Pelodiscus sinensis: one gene and its partners. The main gene of each other region encodes a partner of the protein of the gene in region 3 in a complex. Links are inferred from orthologs where the notes say so. Each region holds a gene or a part of one and is shown on either strand. Other genes may lie near its edges.

The links.
Region 1: CACNB1 (region 3) and CACNG1 share a complex: the UniProt entries of both Homo sapiens proteins name them as parts of the calcium channel complex. The link is inferred for Pelodiscus sinensis from reciprocal best matches to the Homo sapiens genes CACNB1 and CACNG1.
Region 2: CACNB1 (region 3) and CACNA1C share a complex: the UniProt entries of both Homo sapiens proteins name them as parts of the calcium channel complex. The link is inferred for Pelodiscus sinensis from reciprocal best matches to the Homo sapiens genes CACNB1 and CACNA1C.

The regions. Positions count from the first base shown.
Region 1 is NC_134730.1:21,672,433-21,679,788, forward strand, and holds the start of CACNG1 (voltage-dependent calcium channel gamma-1 subunit), read right to left. Parts: upstream 3,038-7,356; 5' UTR 2,859-3,037; coding exon 2,618-2,858; intron 1-2,617. UniProt on the Homo sapiens protein: Regulatory subunit of the voltage-gated calcium channel that gives rise to L-type calcium currents in skeletal muscle. Regulates channel inactivation kinetics.
Region 2 is NC_134711.1:109,146,681-109,154,497, forward strand, and holds the start of CACNA1C (voltage-dependent L-type calcium channel subunit alpha-1C), read left to right. Parts: upstream 1-4,741; 5' UTR 4,742-4,918; coding exon 4,919-5,057; intron 5,058-7,817. UniProt on the Homo sapiens protein: Pore-forming, alpha-1C subunit of the voltage-gated calcium channel that gives rise to L-type calcium currents. Mediates influx of calcium ions into the cytoplasm, and thereby triggers calcium release from the sarcoplasm.
Region 3 is NC_134739.1:12,091,605-12,099,336, reverse strand, and holds the start of CACNB1 (voltage-dependent L-type calcium channel subunit beta-1), read right to left. Parts: upstream 3,009-7,732; 5' UTR 2,939-3,008; coding exon 2,852-2,938; intron 1-2,851. UniProt on the Homo sapiens protein: Regulatory subunit of L-type calcium channels. Regulates the activity of L-type calcium channels that contain CACNA1A as pore-forming subunit.

The DNA of each region.
Region 1 (7,356 bases), on a different chromosome or scaffold from region 3:
TTCTGAGCCTTTCCAATTTGTCAACAACCTTTAAACGTGTGGTTAAACTGTAAATCTCTCTGCCTTAAACCATAAGACCACAAGTTCTAAGGCCAGTTGTAGGCTAATGGGGAAGGTCGAATTAAGATATGCAACTCCAGCTTTGTTAATTATGCAGCTGTAGTCAACATACCTTAATTTGAGTTTCTGTGCAGTCTTCACAGTGAAAGGTTGATGGAGAAACACTCCCATCAGCTTCCCTAACATCTCACAAAGAGCAGCAGTACCAGCACCTTCCGAGTTTGATTTAACAGGTCTTTATTAGACCCACTAAATCACAATCTGGAAGATCGATCGTGGCAACATTGATCTTCCGTGTAGTGAAGACATGGCCAGAATCGTATCCTATATTTAGTACAGCACTAAGATTAATAAGTAATAAACAACAGAAGCAATACTAGTTATTCCACCCGAGTAGTACTAGGTAGGTAACTATTAACCCAGTAGTAAATAATGATACTTTTTCAAATCCTGGTGACTACGTATGATTTTCAGAAAAACAGGTTTACTGACACACCGGTCAGCTACTCCAACTTTGTTTCCCTCCTCTTTCTTGTGTAGTCCAAGTCTGACAACTTCAGCTGGCATTTCTCCTCAGCCATATGGAATCATCACAACTAGGAGTGCCATTTCTGGAGCTGCGTAGTCTAGCAGCTAGAGTTGAATACTGAAAGCCAAGACATCTGAGTTCTTTTCCAAGTGCTATCATAGATGCTTTGCATGGCTGGCCTCTGGCCAACCTTGGACCCTTCTTGTGCTTCAGTTTCCCTAATGTAAAAATGAGGATGATAGCACGTACCTAACAGTAGAGTGTGTTGTAAAGGACTCTGTTAGAACTTCAGATGACATGCATGAAAGAATTCAGTATTATTGCATATAATGATTTTGAAGCTGAATTCCATTGAATCCCAGGAGTATCTGCCAAGCCCTTTAAAAGTATGCCCACCTCTCCCGTAATGAAAGGTCATCTCTGTTTCAGTCAAAGCTGTTCTGCAGAGAGGCCTTCAGCTCCATAATTACCTATTTGTTTACTCGGCACTTTAAGAAGCCAATACAGAGGGCATGGGTAGCTCAGCTGGGAGATGTCCATGCAAGCATATGCTGGTGTCTGTCAAAACTATCTAACACTTTTCTGCTGGATAGATGATGAAGCTGTTTTACTGAGCCAGCAGGATATTTACGAGTTATAAATTTATTCAATAAAGCGCGGTATTTATGTGTTTCTCCCAATCTGTCTCCCCTTAAACATAAAGCTTCCTACATGTGCACAGAAAATGATATTGATAAGGTCATTAGCTATATTAAAATGTATTTATTATATCAACCAGAAATGGGACTAAGGCAAACCTCCAGATTAAAACACCCCCAAACATGGGGGAATGCCAGATTGGAACTCGGATCTGAATGCTATGGATCAGCCTCTTCTGTCTGATAATAAATAGTTTAGTCAGGTTGAGGATTATCACTATATGATTTCATAGTCATCTTACAAATATATTAAAATCTAATTGTACCTTCAACCCGGGGTGCTAATCAAAAGGAAATCCTGTTATTTAGGGGGATTTCTGTCTAGGAAATAATCCAAGTTGGTATTAGCCTCTTGAAATTGGAAAAGTCAGGAAAAGAGTATTAGCACAGGTTGCATGAATGCAGCAGACTTTGCAATCCGCAAAAATGTAATACAACTACTTGCAAATCATGCTAATGTAATACCTTTCCAGGAAACTAGCGAGGGGCGCCAGGCTACCATGCTTCCCGTTGATTTTAATGGGACTATTTTCAGGATCTCTGACTACTCCGTATGAAGAAAAGGGTCTGAATAGACTTCTTTCTTCACAAACACAGAGCACCTTTGCTTTCTGCCACTCTGTGAAATTTAAGGAGGCCCTAATAAGCCAGTGATAGATTATTTCTCACTTAATTACAGCATTTTTTGGCATTTGGAGAACTATGCCATTGCATGCAGTTCCACACTGCCCTAAGTAATACTGAAGAGTATTAAATAACTTTGAAATAACTTTCAAAAACAAGAGGTTCTGGCATATTGCTCTGAACTACAAACATTTTATAATGAACCAGATATCATTCCCACCCCGTAATCCCCACACAGGCAAAACTCCCTGTGGACTCAATGGAAGTTTGGCCTTTATAAGGCCTAGCATAGCTTTTGCAAGGTTGTTGATATCAGCAAAAACATCAGTGGGAAAATATCCTTCTTTCTGATTTCTCTCTGTGCCTTTTGCCTTCTCCTATCTGGCCCCCTTTATGCCAGCTGCTTTCTGTGCTGTATGGAAACAGCTGAAGAGCAGTGTGCTAAATATGCTCACAGATCTATACTGTGGAAGTGCATCATGCATTTAAGATAAGGCCTCAACGAAATGTGACAATGAGGTGTATTTTCAGGCTAATATGAAAACTAAATTGACGTGTTGAATCTTGTAAGATCAAGTGCAGTGGGAGCAAGAATCACATTTTTTCCAGCATGTTTTTTCTCTTCCTAAAAGACGTCACTAAGAATAGCCTGACATTTTCTCCCATGCATTTTTGGGGTGGATGCGGAATGAATGCAAGCACCTACCTCCTGTCAGAGTTATCTTCCCACAGCTCCTCTCCTTGGTAACTTGTTCTTGGATGTAAAACTGCTTTGTGCAGAGCCGCCATAGCCCGAAGTGAGCAGCCTCACAGGTGGAATTGTAATGCTCCACTTTATGGCTTAGCACTGCCCAGTGATCAGTCACCACAGCTGCAAACATTAAAGAGACGCCAACCAAAATAACAGAGAAAGTCACCCGAATTTTCAGTGCTTTGCCTTCGTCCATGGCTAGGGTGCACCGGAGCGCATAGGGCAGACTCTTTCGGTGATTACTGCCCTGTCGAGTTTTGTTTGTCTACTTGAAGGAGAGCTGCAAGTTATTCAAGTGGTCTTCCAAAGTCTTGGCGTGTCTAAGCATTTCCAAATAGATTCCAAATGTCATCCGTGTGTTGCAAAAGTAGAGCAGGTTGTGGGCTGGCTTGGACAGCTGGCCACATGTACAGCTGTTGAAATATATCAGGAGACAGGGTGACTAGACTTGTGAGTGGGGCTTCTATTAATGCACCTAATGAATAAAGTAACTGCGGGAGCTCCAGTTACAAGCTTGTCCCTGCTGGGTTTGTGCAGCAAGTTCCATAAGCCAACTGAGAGCAAAGCTAGCTCCGTGTAATTAATATCCACAGCCATGAGACCATTCCCTTCTCACTCAAGGCATGGCTGGGAACAGAGACCGGTGCAAACTTTTTTAGAACGTAAAAGCATTTTTCTTTGTGATAAAGATGGGGGTGAACCCACTTTTCTTCCACAGAATCCATTATTGGTTCTAACGATACCCTCCCCTACACCCCGAGGCTGGAGTGTTTCAGGGGCCCAAACACACCAAACTTTGGTGGAACTGGAATTGTCTCTGATTTCAGAATAGAATTTTGTGGTTCAGCCTCGTTTTTACTACACATAATTCAGTGGCACTGAGACCAGTGAGAGAGAGAATGAAGTCTACACTGCAGCTTTAGCTACAAGTCGGTTGGCTTTTAGATCGTGAGGTAGAAGCTCATGACTTTAGCACCTAAAGTCCTAGGTTTAATCCCATGACAACATACGAATGGCCATACTGGGTCAGACCAAAGGTCCATCTAGCCCAGTATCCTGTCAGCCAACAGTGGCCAATGCCAGGTGCCCCCAGAAGGATTGAACAGAACAGGGAATCATCAAGTAATCTCTGCTCTGTCATCTATTTTCAGCTCCAGACAAACAGAGGCTAGGGACGCCATTCCTACCCATCCTGGCTAATAGCCATTGATGGACCTAACGTCCATGAATTTATCTAGCTCTTTTTTGAACTCTGGTAAAGTCCTGATCTTCACAACATCCTCTGGCAAGGAGTTCCACAGGTTGACTGTGTATTGCATGAAGAAATACTTCCTTTTAACCCACCTATGAATCCCACCTGTCTATACCCCAGGGCCATGGAACCACGGTGCCCACTATCTACAGACCAGGACTACTGAAAACCTTTCATGCTATCTGTGAACACTTGGTTTAGGTATTCATCAGCCAAAATTAACAATCAGCCACGAGTCTGACCAAGGAATGTCTGCAGCACCACTGAAAGAGAATCTCTTCACCCGTCAGCAAGCGCCTACTTAGGGCTGGAGTGGGGAAGGATACAAATTAAATACAACGCTGAGGGGAAAAGCATTTTCCACAGCCCAACAGTTTTTCTCTTTTTCCAGGCTCGCCTCCCAAAGGACCGTAACTAAAAGAGCTAGCGTGTGACCGGCTCAGTAGCTGCTGGTATGCTGCTGTGCATATCTGGCAAATAGGTGACTGAAGCCGGGTTTGTCAGCAGGCCATCAATGCTTGTTTCATGGAGGTGGGGCGGTACCTGGCCCTTGTGCTCCGCTCTGTCGCATCGCGCTTTGTCTTCTACCAGTGCGCGTGTGTGGTAGGTTTTTAGCCGGCCTTGGTTGTGGTCTTGAAAATAGAGTAAAGAGCCACAGTTGGCTTCTTGCAGAGAAGAGAAGTAGAACGAGCCTAGAAAAGCAGAATGATTTGGTCTTAAACACATCACTGTCCTAAAGCTATAGCTGGCCATTATGGTACTTTCCCCTCTGTGATGGGGTATACAACCCCATCCCGGGCAGCACAGGTGAATGAGCTAATATGGTTTCAGGTGGCCTGCTCCCTCACATCTGAGAGGTGTCAGAATTGGATGGAGGAGCTTCAAAGGGAGAAACACAGCTCAGGTGAGGGCAGTCCATGGAAGAGAGCAGACCTTCAGCCCTCTGCTCCTGAAGAGAGGGCCAGGAGAAGACAGAAACTCCTCTGATAACTGGGTGAGCTGGCCAGCCAGTTAGCTAGATGTTACATAAGAATAAGAACATACAAAGGGCCATACTGGATCAGAACAAAGGTCTGTCTAGTGCAGGATCCTGCCTTCTGACAGTGGCCAATGCCAGGTGCCCCAGAGGAAATAAGCAGAACTGATAACCATCAAGTGATCCCTCCCTGGTCACCCATTCCCAGGCTCTGCCAAAAAAGACTACAGTCAGCATTCCTGCCCATCCTGGCTAATAAGCATTGATGGGCCTATCCTCCATGAATTTATATAGTTCATTTTTGAATCCTGTTAAAGTCCTGGTCTTCACAACATCCTCTGGCAAGGAGTTCCACAGGTTGACTGTGCATTGCATCAAAAAATACTTCCTTTTGTTCGTTTTAAACCTGTGACCTATTAATTTCTTATATTATGGGAACAAGTAAATAACTTTTCCTTACTCACTTTCTCCACACCAGTCATGATTTTATAGACCTCCATCATATCCCGCCTTAGTCTCCTCTTTTCTAACAAGACAAAAAGTCCACGTCTTTTTAATCTCTCTTCATATGGCAGCAGTTCCAAACCTCTAATCATTTTTGTTGCCCTTTTCTGAACTTTTTCCAATGCTAAAATATCTTTTTTGAGATGAGGCGACCACATCTGTAGGCAGTATTCAAGATGTGGGCGAAGCATGGAGTTATACAAAGGCAATGAGATATTCTCTGTCTTATTCTCTATCCCTTTGTTGTATTTCCTTGTCTTGAGAGGGAACTTTACCTCTCTTTTCACCTGTAAATTCAATTTAGGGCCACAGCGTGATGAGAAATCAGCCTGAAGAAACTGAATCTTAACCCAGAGTTGGGATGTTTCATTTGTGTTACTTTCCCTTTTGTTCTATTTTTTTTACAGTTGTGGACAGGGTGGATTATCCAGGGCCCAGCCAGAGGGCTGAGCCTCAGAGGACTTGAACTGGTGTGAGAACACTGCTTGGACATCACAAAGCAGAGGCCTGGCTGAGTGTTGGTGCCCCACCGAGAGCCTGGTGGGATTGTGGTGGCAGGGGGAATGTTGCAGGGAAGGAACCCTGGGGACCCGTTGTGACGGTGCGTTGGGGGTCCCCGTCTCCTGCACCCCGAAATGGCACAAACAGACTGCACCAGCCGGTGTAATAGAGGAAGTTTATTGCCTCTCCAGGATACAGCACAGCATAGATGTAATCTGGTCACAGAGCTGGGCTAGGATGCCTCAGGCCCCCTTGAGATGGGGGAGACTGGGCCCCTAAACTCCAGTCCCTTTCCCTAGGCTGTCTCCTCCATGCTTCCAGCCAGCAACTCACTCACTCTCTTCCCGCCCTGCCCCCCAGCCAGGGCAGCTTTCCACCTTCCTTTGTTCCTCTCCATGGGGGGTGTCTGGCCACTGGTTTGCATAGTGACTCATCCTGTTTTGCTGGGTCGTGGTACCCACGGCAGCCAGTGGGGGTTACCCCAGAGCCAGCAGCATAGAAACCAGCCAGGTACCCCCACTACGTCACACCCGTCAAACAGCAAAATTCCAAGCACGGTACAAATGCTCTATATTAGTTAAGCTTTGCAGCATCCTGTTGGAGGTAGATAAGTAGAGTTTGCCAGTATTTTTGGAACAAAAACTTTTCCTTGTCAAAAAGAACACCTGTAGAACAACACCTCCACCACGTTATTGCCACAAAAAATGGACACATATTTTCATTTTTTCCACAAATGTTTTTGTAGCATAAAACTATTTTCAACAAAGAACGCTGAGGGAGAATCTCTACCTAATTTAATCCAGGTGGAGCCTGTAGTAGCAACTCTGGTTTGTACTTACTGTGTATCATATGACAGTGGACTACAGAAGTGGGGGAGATGCCAGCAGGGATGTCCAAAGATATGGGGCTACTATGGAGCTGAGGGAGACTAGAACAGCAGTTCTCAAACTTTTGGAGCTCTGGAGCCCTTTACATGCGTAAAAATTTATGCGGAGCCCCAGCGGTCCACTGCTTGTACGTGTTGTACTTATCAATGTTTCTAGTTTGTCCAGTTTGTCAACCTTGCGGAGCCCCTGGAGATGCCCTGGGGCTCCGCGGAGCACAGTTTGAGAAACACTGGACTAGAAGATCCTGGAAACAAGATGAGGGTCCAGGGTCCAGGGTCTCTGTGCAGACAACCCTGGCCTCTCTGGGAGCCCTTGATCTCCATTCTGTGGCAAATCTGTGTGTGTGGAGAGGAGCAGGGTTTGGAACCCTACCCTACTAGAATGGTCTAGAACCGTGGTCCCCAACACGGTGCCTGCGGGTGCCATGGCGCCCGCAGGGGCATTTCCATGCGCCTGCCAGGTGCTCGGGGCTGGCCTGGCCCCGGGCGCATGGTGGGGGGAACGCCGGCCCCGGGCACGCGGCGCATGGCGGGGGGAGCGCCGGCCCCGGGCGCGCGGCGCATGGCGGGGGGAG
Region 2 (7,817 bases), on a different chromosome or scaffold from region 3:
CTCCTCTAGTTGGTATAATCCAAAAACTCCTAAATCAAATGTTTGTGTGACTGAGATTTGAGTATTTTTTAAAACAAGTTTATATTTGACACTTGGGAGATTTGCATCACTAAAATCAATTACACATTAAGGGTCAATCTAGACTAAATGCCTTTCTTGAAAGAGGCTTTTTCAAAAGATACTTTCGAAAAAGCCTCTTTTGAAAAAGAGCTTCTAGACTACAATCAGTACTTTCGAAAAAGCAAGCTGCTTTTTCGAAAGACAGCACCCAGGCAGTCTGGATGCTCTCTTTCGAAAAAGCACAGTTTGCATTACATAGCGCCTTTTTTTGAAAGGGCACTTTCGAAAAAAGGTGTTATTCCTCGTAAAACAAGGTTTTCCGCGATCAAAAAAACTGCCAGGTTCTTTCGATTTACTTTTGAAAGAACGCGGCAGCAGTCTAGACGCAGGGGAAGTCTTTTTGAAAAAAGGCCACTTTTTTCTAAAAAAACCCCTGTAGTCTAAACACACCTTCATAGAACACAATAATCAATCTCCTTGTTTGTTAACATGGTCTAATCCAACCCCCTATCACTTTTGGCCATGGACAATTTAAAATCTGTAACAAAAAGCAAGAACAACCCTGCAGATTTCAATTCCTGTGACAGAACATGAGCAGAGAAAAGGCCTCTCTAATTATCTGGATAAAAGACTATTTTACATTTCATAGGTTGTAATGAACAGTCTGACATGCACCAAGGAGCAGACAACCAGTGCTGATCACAGAGCATGGAGGGTTGAATGATCTGGCCCATTCAGGTGACATTCCACCACATCAGTTGAGGTTTTTAATTCTTTTTTCTGGTAGCCTCAAAGCATATATCCACTAGGGTTGCTAGATGTCCAGTATTCACCCTGACAGTCCAGTATTTTTGCCTCCTGTCTGGTAAAAAAAAATTCAGAAAATACCGGACACCTAAAATGTCCGGTATTTTCTGATTTTTTTCCCTGGCCAGGAGGCGAAAATGCTGGGCATCTGACAACCCTACAAACACTCAGCACCTGGCCTCCCCTTCCCTCCCGCCCCCCCCCGTCCCCAAGTCCCCCCTGGTTCCCAACACCCCGAGCCCCCCGACCCCAGCCCCCATGCTTATCTGGTTCCGCAAGGCTGCCGGCACAAAATGGCTGCTGACCAAGGGGAAGCATTTGGGTCTTAGTGCTCAACCATTTCCCTGTTCCTATCCCTGCACTCTTAAAAGGGGGTATGCTGTTTTCATGCTGTTTTATTTTATTTTTTTTGGCTTAAGTCTTGGAGTCATCTCCCCCCCCCCTTTTTCCCCTTTCAACAGATTTTTTTCCCCCGGTGTTTTTTTTTGGGGGGGGGGGGGGGGGAAGGAAGAGGGTCGGTATTTTTGTTTCAACCATCTGGAAACCCTAATATCCACACTGCAGAGTTAGTCCACAGGCTCGCTCTCTCCGAGGTGTTGACCCTAACTCCCTTCCTGTCCACCCACAGGAACCGCACATACAAATTAAGTGATGCTCTCAACCCAGGTTATCTGGTCCATCTGGAAGTATAAAGCAAGGGCTCCACTGTCACTCAGGCTGGCAGTCTCTCCACTTCACAGTGAGCACACAAAGTCACTTGAGGGCTATTGTCCTCAATACCTTCTCAAAAGCACACACATTTTTTCCACAGCTAAATAAAGATTTTTACCAAATCAAATTAAGGATTCAAAACCAGTCAATGGCTTATTGTAGAAACTAAATTTAATATATTTAGATCACAACATCAAAGCCAATTATAAAGTTTTCCTTTGAAGTACCTCCCCCAAAGGTCTTTTGACAAATCTGGTACAAGGCAGATCTTGGTGCTACGCAAGTTGGGCCAATTAAGATCAAATTAGGTCCTTTTTTAGTTGGAGCATCAACCTGGAAAAGCTCTACTTAAACCAGAAATTTTAAAATATTTGCTGGTGAACATACCAGACACTCAAAACCAAACAACTTTACAGTCTACTTGTAGCCATGCTGGTCCTTGAAGAAGAGCTCTGTACAGCTCAAAAGTTTCTCTCACCAACAAAAGCTGGTCCAATCTAAGATATAACCTCAACCAATTCAGGAATTTACAGTAAATTCTGTTTTGAAACTGGCCTTTGTTTTTGGTTTTTTTTTGCTCCCTCCCCCCCCCAATTCCCGGGTATTGACACAAACAAAAATTTGGATTTTACCCATTTTAACCTCAATTTTGCAAGTGCTGGAATGCCCTGCGTTTCCAGCACCCTGCCAAAAGGAACAGAGCACTAGCACACAAATCAACTGCCACTTGGCAGCCAAGTGGGGCTCCCTGCTTATCTCACCTCCTTATCACCAAACTCCCTGTGCATTAGGGGAATGAGACAAATATGGACACAGGCAGGCAGTAGTTGGTCTGCCTTCTCTGCCAGACAGAGCCTGCACCTGACTCTGGCACTTCAAAGTGACTCTAACTCTGTGGTGTCCAACATGTTGCTACTTGGCTGGTTGAGTGTAGTTAGCGTACTATAGCAGTAGCCGCTATAGTGGCTACTGCTTCAGAAATGGTTGGACACCACGGCTCTAACTGCTTTCTTTGCACAGTCGGAAGTGACACAGGCAGGGAGTGCCCCCTCCCTACCAGCTGAGACTGCCCCACCCACTTCTGCAGCAACAGGCCTGCAGGGAATGGAATGCCTCTGCATTCCCATGAGTACTGGGCTACCTTCACACTCTCCCCAGCCCCTTCGTATTTGTTTATCAATCATCCTTTAACATTTGTTTTTATATTGATAAATTCCTGTGAAATTTTAAATGAAATGAACTCTCAGGACTGTAGATACACTAGAAACAACTTTTTCTGACATCTTCATCTTGATAAAGAAAAAAAGTTACTTGAAAATCTATCAAAACTAAACTCCCATAAAATGTAACATTTTATAGAAAGTCTGTATTCCATTCTCAACCATTTTGTTGTCAATCATAAATAAAATACTCTCTCTTTACTAAGCCCACATTTAAAGAGGAAGATTGTGCCCTCCCCCCACTCAATGTTTTATAGAGGACACAAAGACCACCTGAAAATTGTCTGTTTTGTCTCCTTCTGCTTTTTACACTACAAATTGAGGTCAGATCTGCCCTGTTTTCCTGGAAAACTGTAGATAACTCAAGAGTTACTAGGTTTGTGATATCACAACTATCAAGGAAATAAAGCCCAAATAACTGAGTAAGAAAGTGATTTTCATTAAGTCTAAAACTCTGGTTTTGCTAACACTACTGTAACTCAAACACTTAACACATAGCTGGGAAAAAAAGCTTTCTGTTAAAGATTGAAAAGGCCTCTTCAGTTGAACAGCTGATAAAACTCCCAATCAACTTTCAACAAATAGGGACAGTAAGACAATATTTTCATTATTTCAACGTCAAAGAAAAAAAAAACAAGCAAGAAAAATACTTTATCGAAGGAAAATAAAATCAATTTCAGAGAGTTATCTTTACATGACACAAAAGACATGAAGGAAAAATTCTGCCTCTTGCCCCCCCCGCCCCCCCCCCCCCCATACCAAAAGCTTGACGGGTTACCTTTAAAATCAAACTAGCAGGGAATTGTTCAAACATCTTTCTCAATCATCTTTCCCCAAATGCAGATGGTTAAGAGAGTGGGCAGTAAATTGGCAATGTTGTTAAAGTCAAGAGACAGTTTCTTGTGTAGGGATCTCACCACCATCTGTTTAAATGTGGCTGGAATCCTTTCTTAAAAAGCAAAGCATTTAATAATTCTTGTTAATAAAATGGGCCCCAAACATCCCTCTGATCTTTTTTTTTTTTTTTTTTTTTTTTAAAACCAGCCAGGAAGTGAAGAAGCCCAGATTACAGATTGTCAGATGTAGATGCAACAACACATCTTAAACCCCGCTCTACAAAACAGAACACTACTCGAAACAGAGAAGGTAGTTTGTTTGTAAGACCTTGCCCATCACTCTACCTTAACCATGCTAGTCACATCACACTATTCATTCAGTCTTTCTAGCAAAACAAAATAGAAAAAAGTTCTATACCATACCATGCCTTTCGTACTCCTGTGCTGCTGCTGGCAGTGGCTCCACCTTTAGAGCTGAGCTCCTGACCAGCAGCTACCACTCTCCAGCAGCCCAGCTCTGAAGGTTGTGCTGCCACCACCAGGAGCAGAGAAGTAAGGGTAGTAGTAACACAACCACACAAACATCATAACCTTGTGACCTCCTTCCCAACAACTCCTTTTTGGGTCAGGACCTCTACAAATTCAACACTGAGATTTCAGATTTAAATAGATTAAATAGAATTTACATTTTTTTAAATTCTCTGACCATGAAATTGACAAATATGGACTATAAATTTGTATTTGTATGTAAAAACAATATAAAACTAAACTCACATTCCAGGAGAAGTTGTCTGGCTATGACAAGCCTACAGTCTACAAAATCCTAGACAAAAGCTATCTTTCTTCAAATACAAGAGTATATCAGACAAGTTAGTGATGATTTACAAAAAACAGAGATCACCATGACTCAGTAAGGTGATGAGCTGACAGGCAGATGGAGCCCATTATCTTCACTTCTCAATCCAAGTTTTCCTGTAAAAGCACTAGGGGAGGAGAGGGCTTTAACCAAGCAATAGAAACACAGGACAAAAAAGGATTAGGAGTGAAGCACTAGGGAAGAAAAGATAATGCAAGAAATGCTGCTCACATTTCAAATAGCTAGAAAAGTTTCTGTAGTTTTGGTCACATGAGCTTTTCCAAGACTAGGGTTTAACATCTGGACAAGTTTTGTGGCTATTAGGTTTAAATGATATTAAAGTAGAAACTACGGACAATCAGGAACCTACTTTTGCTATATACAGAGTATTTAATTCAGCTGTACAAAGCTACCTTTGGAAGTATAAAATGTTTCAAGCCTTTGTTCGGCAATCTACTTCAGCATATCGCCCACTACCGAACCATCTGCCAGGTGAACCTGAAGTGAAGTATAAGGGCAAGTTGGTGCATGAAACTCAGCTTAGCTGCTTCTACATCCAACCTGGAGGTAAGACCCACATTAGTGATATAAATAATGATGTCCTGAAATCTTCTGTGTTGTATTCCATTCCCATTGAAACAGAACAGTTATTTTCATATCTGAAAACTTTTATGAACAATGCATTTTAATAATCATTGGTAATATATTTGGAAATTGTGGCGTATAAATGCACTCCCACAGGAGACAGAGTGCTCTGGAAATTCTCAGATCTCTAGAGTGAATAGAAAGGCACTTCATCAGATAACATGCTGACTTTTAAGCGCCTAATTAATTCCAGTCCCTTGCTTCCATCTAGAAAAGGATGAGACAGGGCTTAAGAAAAAAATATTTGATTCCAGAATTTAAAATGCAGTCACGGACAAACTGTGGGCATGGGTTTGAGTAGGCATAGATGGGAATAACGGGATTTCACTTTAAAGTAGAGAATATATAAACAATATTTGAAGACAAAGTAGTAAATGTGTTTTTTAAAGGCAAGCCTGATTTCTAAAGGGAAATTAATTGAGACTTGTTTTCCAATCTTCAGTTTTCAAAAGTACTACATACATATTCACTCTCCTGGGAAAAACACAGACAGCTGTCCATTTTATCCTATATGAAGTAATAGGGGGAAAAAGTGTCACATGAAAAGTTACCGTCTTTAAAAAAAATTCCATTCCATGTTTAACTACTCTGCTTTTCTCATCATATGGCTATCTTATCTTGAAAAGATGTCCGGAATTCCCAGTGTTGGCAGTACACTCAACAGTAAATGTTCAGAGCAGTTAGCATATTGCTTATGTACTGACATCCATAAATGGGAAAGTAAGCCGGTGTTCAGCAGAAACATGCTGAATTATTCCTCTTTCCACCTCATTAAGAATCTCTCTCACATCTTCAGAGTGCTCTAAATCTACCTTAATTCTCCTTCATACACTTTCTGCATCAATGTAACAGGCCAAACGGATTCAATCACTACCAGCCACTGAAAGTTTTTTTTATCTTAACTGTTTCTTTTCATGGGACATAAAATTTCACTGACTTTCAAATACCAGTCCATGATTCCACATGTGAATTTGTAACTATTAGCAGAGAGGCATCTTTTTTTTTGGCTGCTTACTACTCATCAGGCAATAGCAATATTTGAAAACGGTGGCTTTACCCACTACAGGTAAGATTGCAGAACTATCACCATAACAAAACCATTTTTAGGACTTTCCTAAAATGTTCACCTTTTCAATTGAATATTTCCATACTCCGATCACACTGTGCAGAAAAGCCTTAAGTTTAGCAAAATCCCTGTAATTGTGTTGAATCATAGGGAAAAATTAAGGCTATAATGAGGCAGACAATCGACTAATTGGGGTTGTGTGTGGTGGTGGGAGGAGGGACGCGGTGATAGGGATCCAGAATTGACCTCCCCTGGTGCAGCAAACTCACTCATTTGGGACCAGTGAGGACCGAGGGTGCCAGACCAGTGTGGTCCAACTTCTGCTGGTGAAAGGGAAAAGTTTTTGAGCTTCAGAGAGCTCTCTCTCAGATCCGAAACATATGATATTTGGCCAGTGCAGAAAACTGATTAGATGAACTACTAATCTAATCTGGTATAGTGACTTCTATATTTCTGCTGAGCCGCATCATAGCAACAGGCACAAGACTCTTAAGTGAAAGGTCTCTGCACAAATCATTTGGTTCCAAGCTCTAGTGTGTCTTCACAATGCACTACTGATAAAGGAGGAATGAGAAAATAATTCTAGATTTCATGTCAGACCTTGACCAATCTCACTAACCAAGCTATATGATGTAAACCTGGATAGTGTTTTAAATTATCAAATAATTTAACCAACGCCATAGAGGAAAAGGGTTATTTTGCTGTTAGAAAAACAAAGGAAGTTTTTGAAAAATTGCAGCAAGTATGCATTATTTCAACCACAGTGAAAATACCGATTGTGTCTTCCCATCTCAGGTATAATGAGATACCAAAAAGAGAGACATTTCTACTAGCAATATCCATAATTACTGAATTAGTTTAAACTTCTACCTCCATTCCTGACTTCTAAATTAACAGCCCTAAATCCAACCTCGCTTAAATAGACACGGACAAACTTTTCAGGGACACAGTGGATTAGTGCAAATGGTCACTGGTTTGGCACCCAAAGCCTGTCTGGATTGCTTTAGTATTGGGTTATAGTGCCTAAAAGCCTTGATGCAAACACCTATTTCAACTTCATATTACAAAGATCAAACAAAAAGACACAAAATAGTATGAAAATTGCCAAACTACAAGAAGAAAAACATGTTAATCATACTGTAAATCTTCATAAACTTTAGCATCATTGAATATAATTTTGAAAAATATTGTTATTGTATATTGGCTGCAAGTACCATCCTTTTAAAGGATAAATACAATGCAACAAGAAGGTCAGCAGACTTATCTAGCACAGCAATACCATCTTTTGCTGCGGAGTACATTCATTTCAGATTATCTGATACTAACTATAGATATTCATCTGCATTGAAATCAAAATGGTTTCAGTTAGCATTCAACAAAATGCTGCAATTTGACAGAAATTATTCAATCCCTCAATCCTACTGTTTGCTTTTAGATATCTCTGAAATTTATACTTAGAATAATCTTTTTCAAATATCAATTTATAGTTTTCTTAAAAAGGAAAGCAACTGTATTGCTGAACTGTTAAACACAGATGAAAATGTATGGTTTAAATAACATAACAGAAAGATAAGTATAGTAACTACAGATTAAGATAATTTACTGAAAGGCTAGAT
Region 3 (7,732 bases):
GCAAATGCACACGCGTAGGGAGCCAGCGAACACACCTGCTGCCACTGAGTCATCCCCTGACCAACAGCGCCTGGCAAATGCTCCAAATACCCAGCTGGTGGCACAGACTTAGAAGGAGCCAGCAGCTGAGAGCTGTCCCACAGCCAGCGCGCTTGCCCCATCCTCTACAGCGCCTCCTGCTGGGGGAGGCTGGGGCTGGCAAGATTTCCACCCCACCCGCAGCCAGCCCTCCCTGCAGAATTGTGGCTGGACCCCTCCGCAGCTGTCTCAGAGGGCCCAATCCTGCTCCCCCTCCCCGTCCTCGCCCTGGGACGTCAGTCCCTTCCCAGCTGGTTCCTCCTGAAACTCCCAGTGAGCGCGAGGCCTTTCTGCACAGGACAAGCAGCCGGGACGTGTTGGGGCAGGTCTCGGAATGAGCCATCTCAGAGGGACAGCTGGGCCCAGTTGCTGCCCAGCCCACAGACACGTGGTCCCTGCGCAGGGCAGGAGTTGGTATTTTTAGGATTCCTCCCCACCCCCATCGCTCCAATCAGGGTCCATCCATCAGTCACATTCCCTGCACCCGCGGTGGGTGGCTGGGATTCCCCATCCAGGGGGCTGGTGCAGGGTTTCGTCTGTAACGAAATAGCTGCAAGCCTGTTTTTTACATTCACAATGAACCCTGCAAGCCCAGAGGCCTTGGAGCTACGAACCGCCAAGCCTAGAGAGGCCGAGGCTCAGCCCTGGCACAAGTTAAGCTCTTGACTGGTGGCCCTCCAGGTGGGGAAGGGTTAACCGGAGCCATGTCCTAAGCTGGTGGAGGCTGGGTTTGTGTTTCCCAGCCCTGTGGTCCATCCAGACATGGGTAACCCTTCCCCTTCTCCACCCTGCTAAGTAGCCCTGAGCAACAGATCCAACCAGCGACTGGTACCCCCGGCAGGCACTGGTATCCCAACCAGATACTGGTATCCCAACCAGATACTGGTACCCCCAGCAGGCACTGGTATCCCAACCAGATACTGGTACCCCCGGCAGGCACTGGTATCCCAACCAGATACTGGTACCCCCAGCAGGCACTGGTATCCCAACCAGATACTGGTACCCCCAGCAGGCACTGGTATCCCAACCAGATACTGGTACCCCCGGCAGGCACTGGTATCCCAACCAGATACTGGTACCCCCGGCAGGCACTGGTATCCCAACCAGATACTGGTACCCCCAGCAGGCACTGGTATCCCAACCAGATACTGGTACCCCAGCAGGCACTGGTATCCCAACCAGATACTGGTATCCCCAGCAGGCACTGGTATCCCAACCAGATACTGGTATCCCCAGCAGGCACTGGTATCCCAACCAGATACTGGTATCCCCAGCAGGCACTGGTATCCCAACCAGATACTGGTACCCCCGGCAGGCACTGGTATCCCAACCAGATACTGGTATCCCCGGCAGGCACTGGTATCCCAACCAGATACTGGTACCCCCAGCAGGCACTGGTATCCCAACCAGATACTGGTACCCCCAGCAGGCACTGGTATCCCAACCAGATACTGGTACCCCCAGCAGGCACTGGTATCCCAACCAGATACTGGTATCCCCAGCAGGCACTGGTATCCCAACCAGATACTGGTATCCCCAGCAGGCACTGGTATCCCAACCAGATACTGGTACCCCCGGCAGGCACTGGTATCCCAACCAGATACTGGTATCCCCGGCAGGCACTGGTATCCCAACCAGATACTGGTACCCCCAGCAGGCACTGGTATCCCAACCAGATACTGGTATCCCAACCAGATACTGGTATCCCCAGCAGGCACTGGTATCCCAACCAGATACTGGTACCCCAGCAGGCACTGGTATCCCAACCAGATACTGGTATCCCCAGCAGGCACTGGTATCCCAACCAGATACTGGTACCCCCAGCAGGCACTGGTATCCCAACCAGATACTGGTACCCCCAGCAGGCACTGGTATCCCAACCAGATACTGGTACCCCCAGCAGGCACTGGTATCCCAACCAGATACTGGTACCCCCAGCAGGCACTGGTATCCCAACCAGATACTGGTACCCCCAGCAGGCACTGGTATCCCAACCAGATACTGGTATCCCCAGCAGGCACTGGTATCCCAACCAGATACTGGTATCCCCAGCAGGCGACATCACAACAATGTATCTGTGCTGGTATCCCCACCTCCTCCTCCATCGGGCAGTGCTACACCAAACCCCACAGCGGGTTTCCAGCAGGGGTGAAGTACCCCTTTAGTATCCACTAGCAAGCAGAAGGGGAAATAAAGAGGCGTGGTGCCTCTGGATTGGATCTACCAAATTACCCCGTCTGCTCCAAAGTTTCCCGGCGCGAGCCCCAGAGGAGGCATAGTGGCACCCCGGGGGCCCCTCCGGGCCAGGACTGGCCCAGTCTCACAGACCCTTCAGCATTGTGACCCACATTTTCCAGACGGGGAGACCACGGTGACACAGCAAACAAGGGCAGCTAGGTCCCCCGCAAGACCACCCGCTTCCACCCCTAGGACCCACCCACCCCCTTGCTCACCTCCCTGGTGACCTCTGGGCACAGGATGGGGGGCACGTGGGGCCCCCGCTTTGCCTGGTGGGTGCCAAGGGGGGGGGGGGTTTCAGCTGAGCTGGAACCCGGCGAGAGCAGCGAGAAGGGCGGGGGCAGAAAGCTGCCAGGCTGCGAACCTGCCTCCGATCCCCCCGCATCGGTTCGAGCCCGTCTCAGCCCCCCTGCACTTTCCAGCAACCCCCTCGGAAAAGCAAAGGGCAGCGGGTCATGGGCCGGTTCCGATCCGGTCCGGTCCATCCCCCCGGTATTTCTGGCTGCAGCCCCCCTCCGGGGGGGGGGGGACCCACCTGCAGGCCGGGGTGCTCGAACACGTCCATCTGGATCTCCTGGGTGGAGCTGCGGGGTGTCCGGGCCATGCCGCCCTCCCGCACCATGGAGCTCGCGGCGGCTCGGCCTGGCTCGCCCCGGACTCGTGTCCCAAGCCAGCCCCGGCAGAGGAGGAGCCCGGGGCGGGGGCGGGGGCGTGTGGGGGCGGCAGCCGCCCGGCCCCTCCCGGCGGCCACACAATGCGCAGGCAGGCGGGGGAGGGAGGGAGGGGGGTGGCGAGAGGCGGGGGCGAGCCCCGGGGCTCGCCGGCCCGGAGGGGGCGGGGTGTGGTCCGAGCGCCCCCCCCCCCCCACAGAGCGATGTGGGGGGGTCTGCAAGCAGGCAAAGACCCCCCCCTCCGGCTTTGGAACTCCCCCCCCCCCCGATCCTCCCCCCCTACCGAGGGGCCTGGCTGCCAGCAGCGCTAAGTGGGGGGGGCAGATGTCAGGAGATGTCCCCCGTCATGGGGATTCCCGAAGGGGGGGGCTCATGCCTCCCTACTCCCCACAGAGCCCCCCCCCAAACCCACGGCCATGGCTGGGCGCAGGGCTCCAGTGATGGGTCCGCTCCCCCCTGCCCAGGGACCATGGGGGGCACTGCTGCCCCCCCTCAGATCCTGCAGAGAGCTGGCCCTGGGTATTTTACTGCCACTCTTTTCAAGCCCGCCCCCCAGGCCACTGCTCCAGCCCACCAAAAGCTGGATCCCGCCTCCCTGCAACTGGCTGTGGGGGGTTGCGGGGATACTCAGCCCCCAGACCTGTTTTATTGGGGGGTCCCGGGTTGGCGTGGCGCTGGGTTGGCTCTCAGCGCTAACCTGCTACCCGCCCGGTAACCTGCTACCCGCCTGGTAAGTTGGATTCCACGCACAGCTCCCCCCATCCCATCCCTGGGCTCCCTCCACACACACTGTCCCCCCTTCTTTCCCTCCCCCCGTCTGCCAGCACCCCTCAGTCCCGACCTCCGCCCAGCAGGTGGTAACCTTGAGAGAGATTTCTGAGTCCCAGGATGGGGACCCCCAGCTGGACCGGTTCCCCTCCCTTCCTGCCAGGCACAGGCTCAATGCGGCCGTGTGGGGGGGCAATACTGCTGGGATGGGAGAGGGGGGAGCTTGGTTGGGAACAGATCTCAGCCTCCCAGAGCCCCTGCCATGAGAGCATGCTGGCCGGTGAGCGGCTGTATTGCTTAGCTGGCCTTATTGTGCAGTGACAGCTGGCCTGGGTCCCAGAGCTCTGCTGCAGGTCGGTAGCTGGTAACCCACCCACCTCTCTCCCCCTGTGCCCTGCCACCTCCTTTCATTCGCCCCCACCACCCTTTGCCAGGAACCTGTCCCCTACCAGAGACTTCCTAGCAGAACCCACCTGCCCCAACACCCCCTGGGGGCTCCCAACAGGCCCTGATGATCCTCAAAGCCCCCCACATGCCCCCCACGTCAGGTAGACTAGGGCACTTGGATGAGCTCCAATTTAGGGTGAGAAGGAGGGAGGGGAAAGGAGTCATTGGGGCCACTTCTTCCCCCACCAGCCACCTGGGAAGCAACTGATGCTGTGGCCAAGACCCTGGAGTAAATGAGGGGGCTGAAGAAAAGTGCACTCCCCTCCCCCCCCCCCGTGCTGCCCCTCCCACCCAGCAACCCAGCTGAGGAATGGAGTCAGGGACTTACCCCCTCCATCTGCCCGGTACTCCTGCCAGGGCATGGGGGACAGGGCAGGGACGCTGGTCCTTCTCCGCCCACTTCGGGGCTCCAGCTGAGGCGTGGGGGTCGGGGCCTTGCAAGCCCTCATGACCCAATTCTGCTCCCCAAGGAGACCACTGGGCGGGTGGAGCAGGACAAGCCCTGCACCCCACCCCCAGGAGAGGGGCAAGCCACCGCACCCCAACCCTGGCAGGATGCTGGACGGGCTGAGCAGGGCCAGCGATGGGGCAGGACCAGAGCTGGGATGGGGGGGAGGGGTTGATAAGTGAGTGGGCTGTGGCCAGCCCATATGCTGTACTCCAGGGGTGGGGAACCTCAGACCCGGGGGCCGAGGCTCAGGGGCCTCTCCCAGTACTGGGTAGCCTGCGCTGGCACTCCAGCCCCACTGCTGCCCCACCATGGGGCTGGAACCACAAAATCTACTAGGCCGGGCCGCCCTAGGCTCTGGTGTGTGAGGGGAATGGGGGGTGGGTCTGTCTCCTCCACTGGGGGCTATGTCAGTGAGGGGTTTCTTGTTTTGGTTTGGTTTTGCTTCCCACTTGTGTGCAGCCCCCGACCTAAAAAAAGTTCCCCAGCCCTGCTGTACGCTCTACACCCCAGTACAGAGGAAGCCCCATGACAGGCGACAGGGGGAGAGAATTCACGTGGCTGGTGGGGGTCTGTGGCTAAGTAGGAAAGAATTGGGGGGGCTTGGCTCTGTGTTTCCCCACCTCCCTCCCTTGTCTCGCCACCCGCTAGGCCACAGCTCGCTTTGGCAGGGATCCTGAGCGTAGGGAAGTGCCCTCACCCCACTGGAGCATGACAGCAGCCCCATGACCACCCCTTCACCTCGCAGAGACTGGGGGCCAGTCCCAAGGGGGTGCAGCGGGGTGCGGTGGATTCACTCCGGAGAGCTGGCTCCAGCCCCGGCCTGCGCAGCTGGGAGACAAACTATCCAAGCACCAGGGCAGGCGAAGCAGGAGAGCTTTTCCATTATTAGAACCCATCCATCACGGGCGGGCTGAGGCGTGACTGCAGAAACCAGCACTGAATCCCATTTCACCTCCACCGGAGAAACCAGGCATGGAGAGAATGACTTGCCCAAGGTCACGCAGCTAATCGGTGGCAGAACCAGGTGTAGACTCCAGCCCCCCTGTTAGGCTCTAGCATCCCCCCCTCTCCGCCCCCATTTCAGAGGGTGGGGATACAGCTCAGATGACTGGGACTATACAAGTCCGGACCCCAAAGAAGCAAAGAGGGGGTCTTTTGAACCCCAAAAGACTAAGCAATTGAATCAACCAATTGTACACAATGTGAGTGCAGAAGAGTATGTCAAGTAAGGCCTCTAAGGAAAGTTGGTGATGTTCTGAACTTGCTGGGCATTAGGAGATCTGCACGCAGGGCATACACGCATGTGAAAGTTGTAATTGTAAACTACAACATCACCTGGCATATAAGGCAGGGAGGTGCACCAGGCCAGCTGTTTCCACGGAACCAACTTCAGCGACTCGTCCATCCTTCAGCTGGGAAAAGACAATGCTGGGACCACTAGAGTTAATGGAAAGACAAGGAGACAGCTGGGAATTCCCACACACACACCAATGAGTCACCAGGCCAGAAAGAAGGGGAAGGGGGGAAGCCTTTTACTAGCAGGCTTATGTTGCATCAGAGGCTTTCTCTACACCTAAAAGTTTCAAGCGCAGCAGCTTTAAGCTATGGATGTAAACAAGTAGTCGAGTATACGATTAACCGGTAAGACTAGGCTTATCGGTTAATCTTCTCAACTACTTGCATCCCGCCCAGCCTTGCTGCCTCTGTATCAGAGGCAGCAAGTGGGATGGGGCAGGAGCCGGTGCTGCAGGGAGCCACCTTAAAAGGTAGATTCCTCCCAGCACCGGTTCTGCCATGCCGCCAGCCCCCCAGCATGGGGGGGCAGGAGAGGCTGCACAGGAGCAGGGGAGGCATCGCACGGAACAGCCTCTATCCTCGGACAGCTCAGACCCCCCCACGGACGGGGCTACTGCCACCCTGCACTGCTGCCTCTGTATCAGAGGCAGCAGCATGGGGTGGCAGGCAGGCAGCTGGTCTGCTTGGGGAGTTGGTTTTTAAACTGGCTCCCCTCACGGACCGGCTCCCTCCTGGCACCTTGCGCTGCTGCCTCTGATACAGAGCTCTCCCAGGCCAGCGCTCTATGTAAACCACATCCATGAGGAGAGTAGCAAACAGCACTGTAGCCTGGTTCCCATTGGCACTTTACAGCGCTGTAACTTCTGCACTTGGCGGGGGGTTGTTTTTTCACACTCCTGAGCCAGAAAGATGCAGCACTGTGAAGTGCCAAGGTAGACGCAGCCTTTGCATGAAGGTTTTTTCCCAGAAACTGAGGGCAGCCTGTCCGTGAAACCCTGGATTCTCCCTAGGACAGGTGTGCTGGGAAACTGTTCGGAGGGAATAGAAAAGGGGATTTGTCTAATAAACAAGCGTAAAGCCAGAGGTTGCGTCTTTCCATTTCAATTCCGTGTGACGGGTCCGCGTTTGCTTTCTCTTACCTGTTCACCTTTGAATCTGCAGTTTTTTCCATAGTAAATAAAATTACTTCTACCCCCAGAGCGTCCCAGCGACATTCAAACTGCCCCTGCCTCTTCATCCCAAACTCAAACCCAGCTCTGAGTCAATACAAGCCGGTTCCCGGTTCCAGTCAGGAGTGAAGTAGGTTTCCTCCCTGCAGAGGATCCCAACTTTGGGGCGGTTCCCTGATCCAGATGTGACTCCCGCCCGTCTCCCGCTCCTGACAGGGGGATGCCAGGCCCGATTTGAAATGACCTCTTCAGACTAGGGATGGAAATGGGCAATTGGTACTCGGCCACAGCCCCCCACCTACAGTCTGCCATCAGCAGCAGCAGCACCCCTGTTGCCAGCGGCAACCACTCTGGGACCAGGACCAAGATCCCGCGTAGTTAGGTTAACCAGTTAAACATTGGGTTAACCGAACGTTTAACCGGTTAACTGATTAGTGGGGATTTTCCATCCCTACTCCAGACCAGCAGGGGCTGGGAGATTTGGGGAGAAGGATGCTGTTTAGAGAAACCCCTGTGTATCCCCTCTTCCCAGCTAGGCCAAGGGAGATGGCCTTTTCTGAGGGTTCAGGGCCACTCCCATTTTGGCCTGTTTGTGCAGAGACCATCCAGTTACC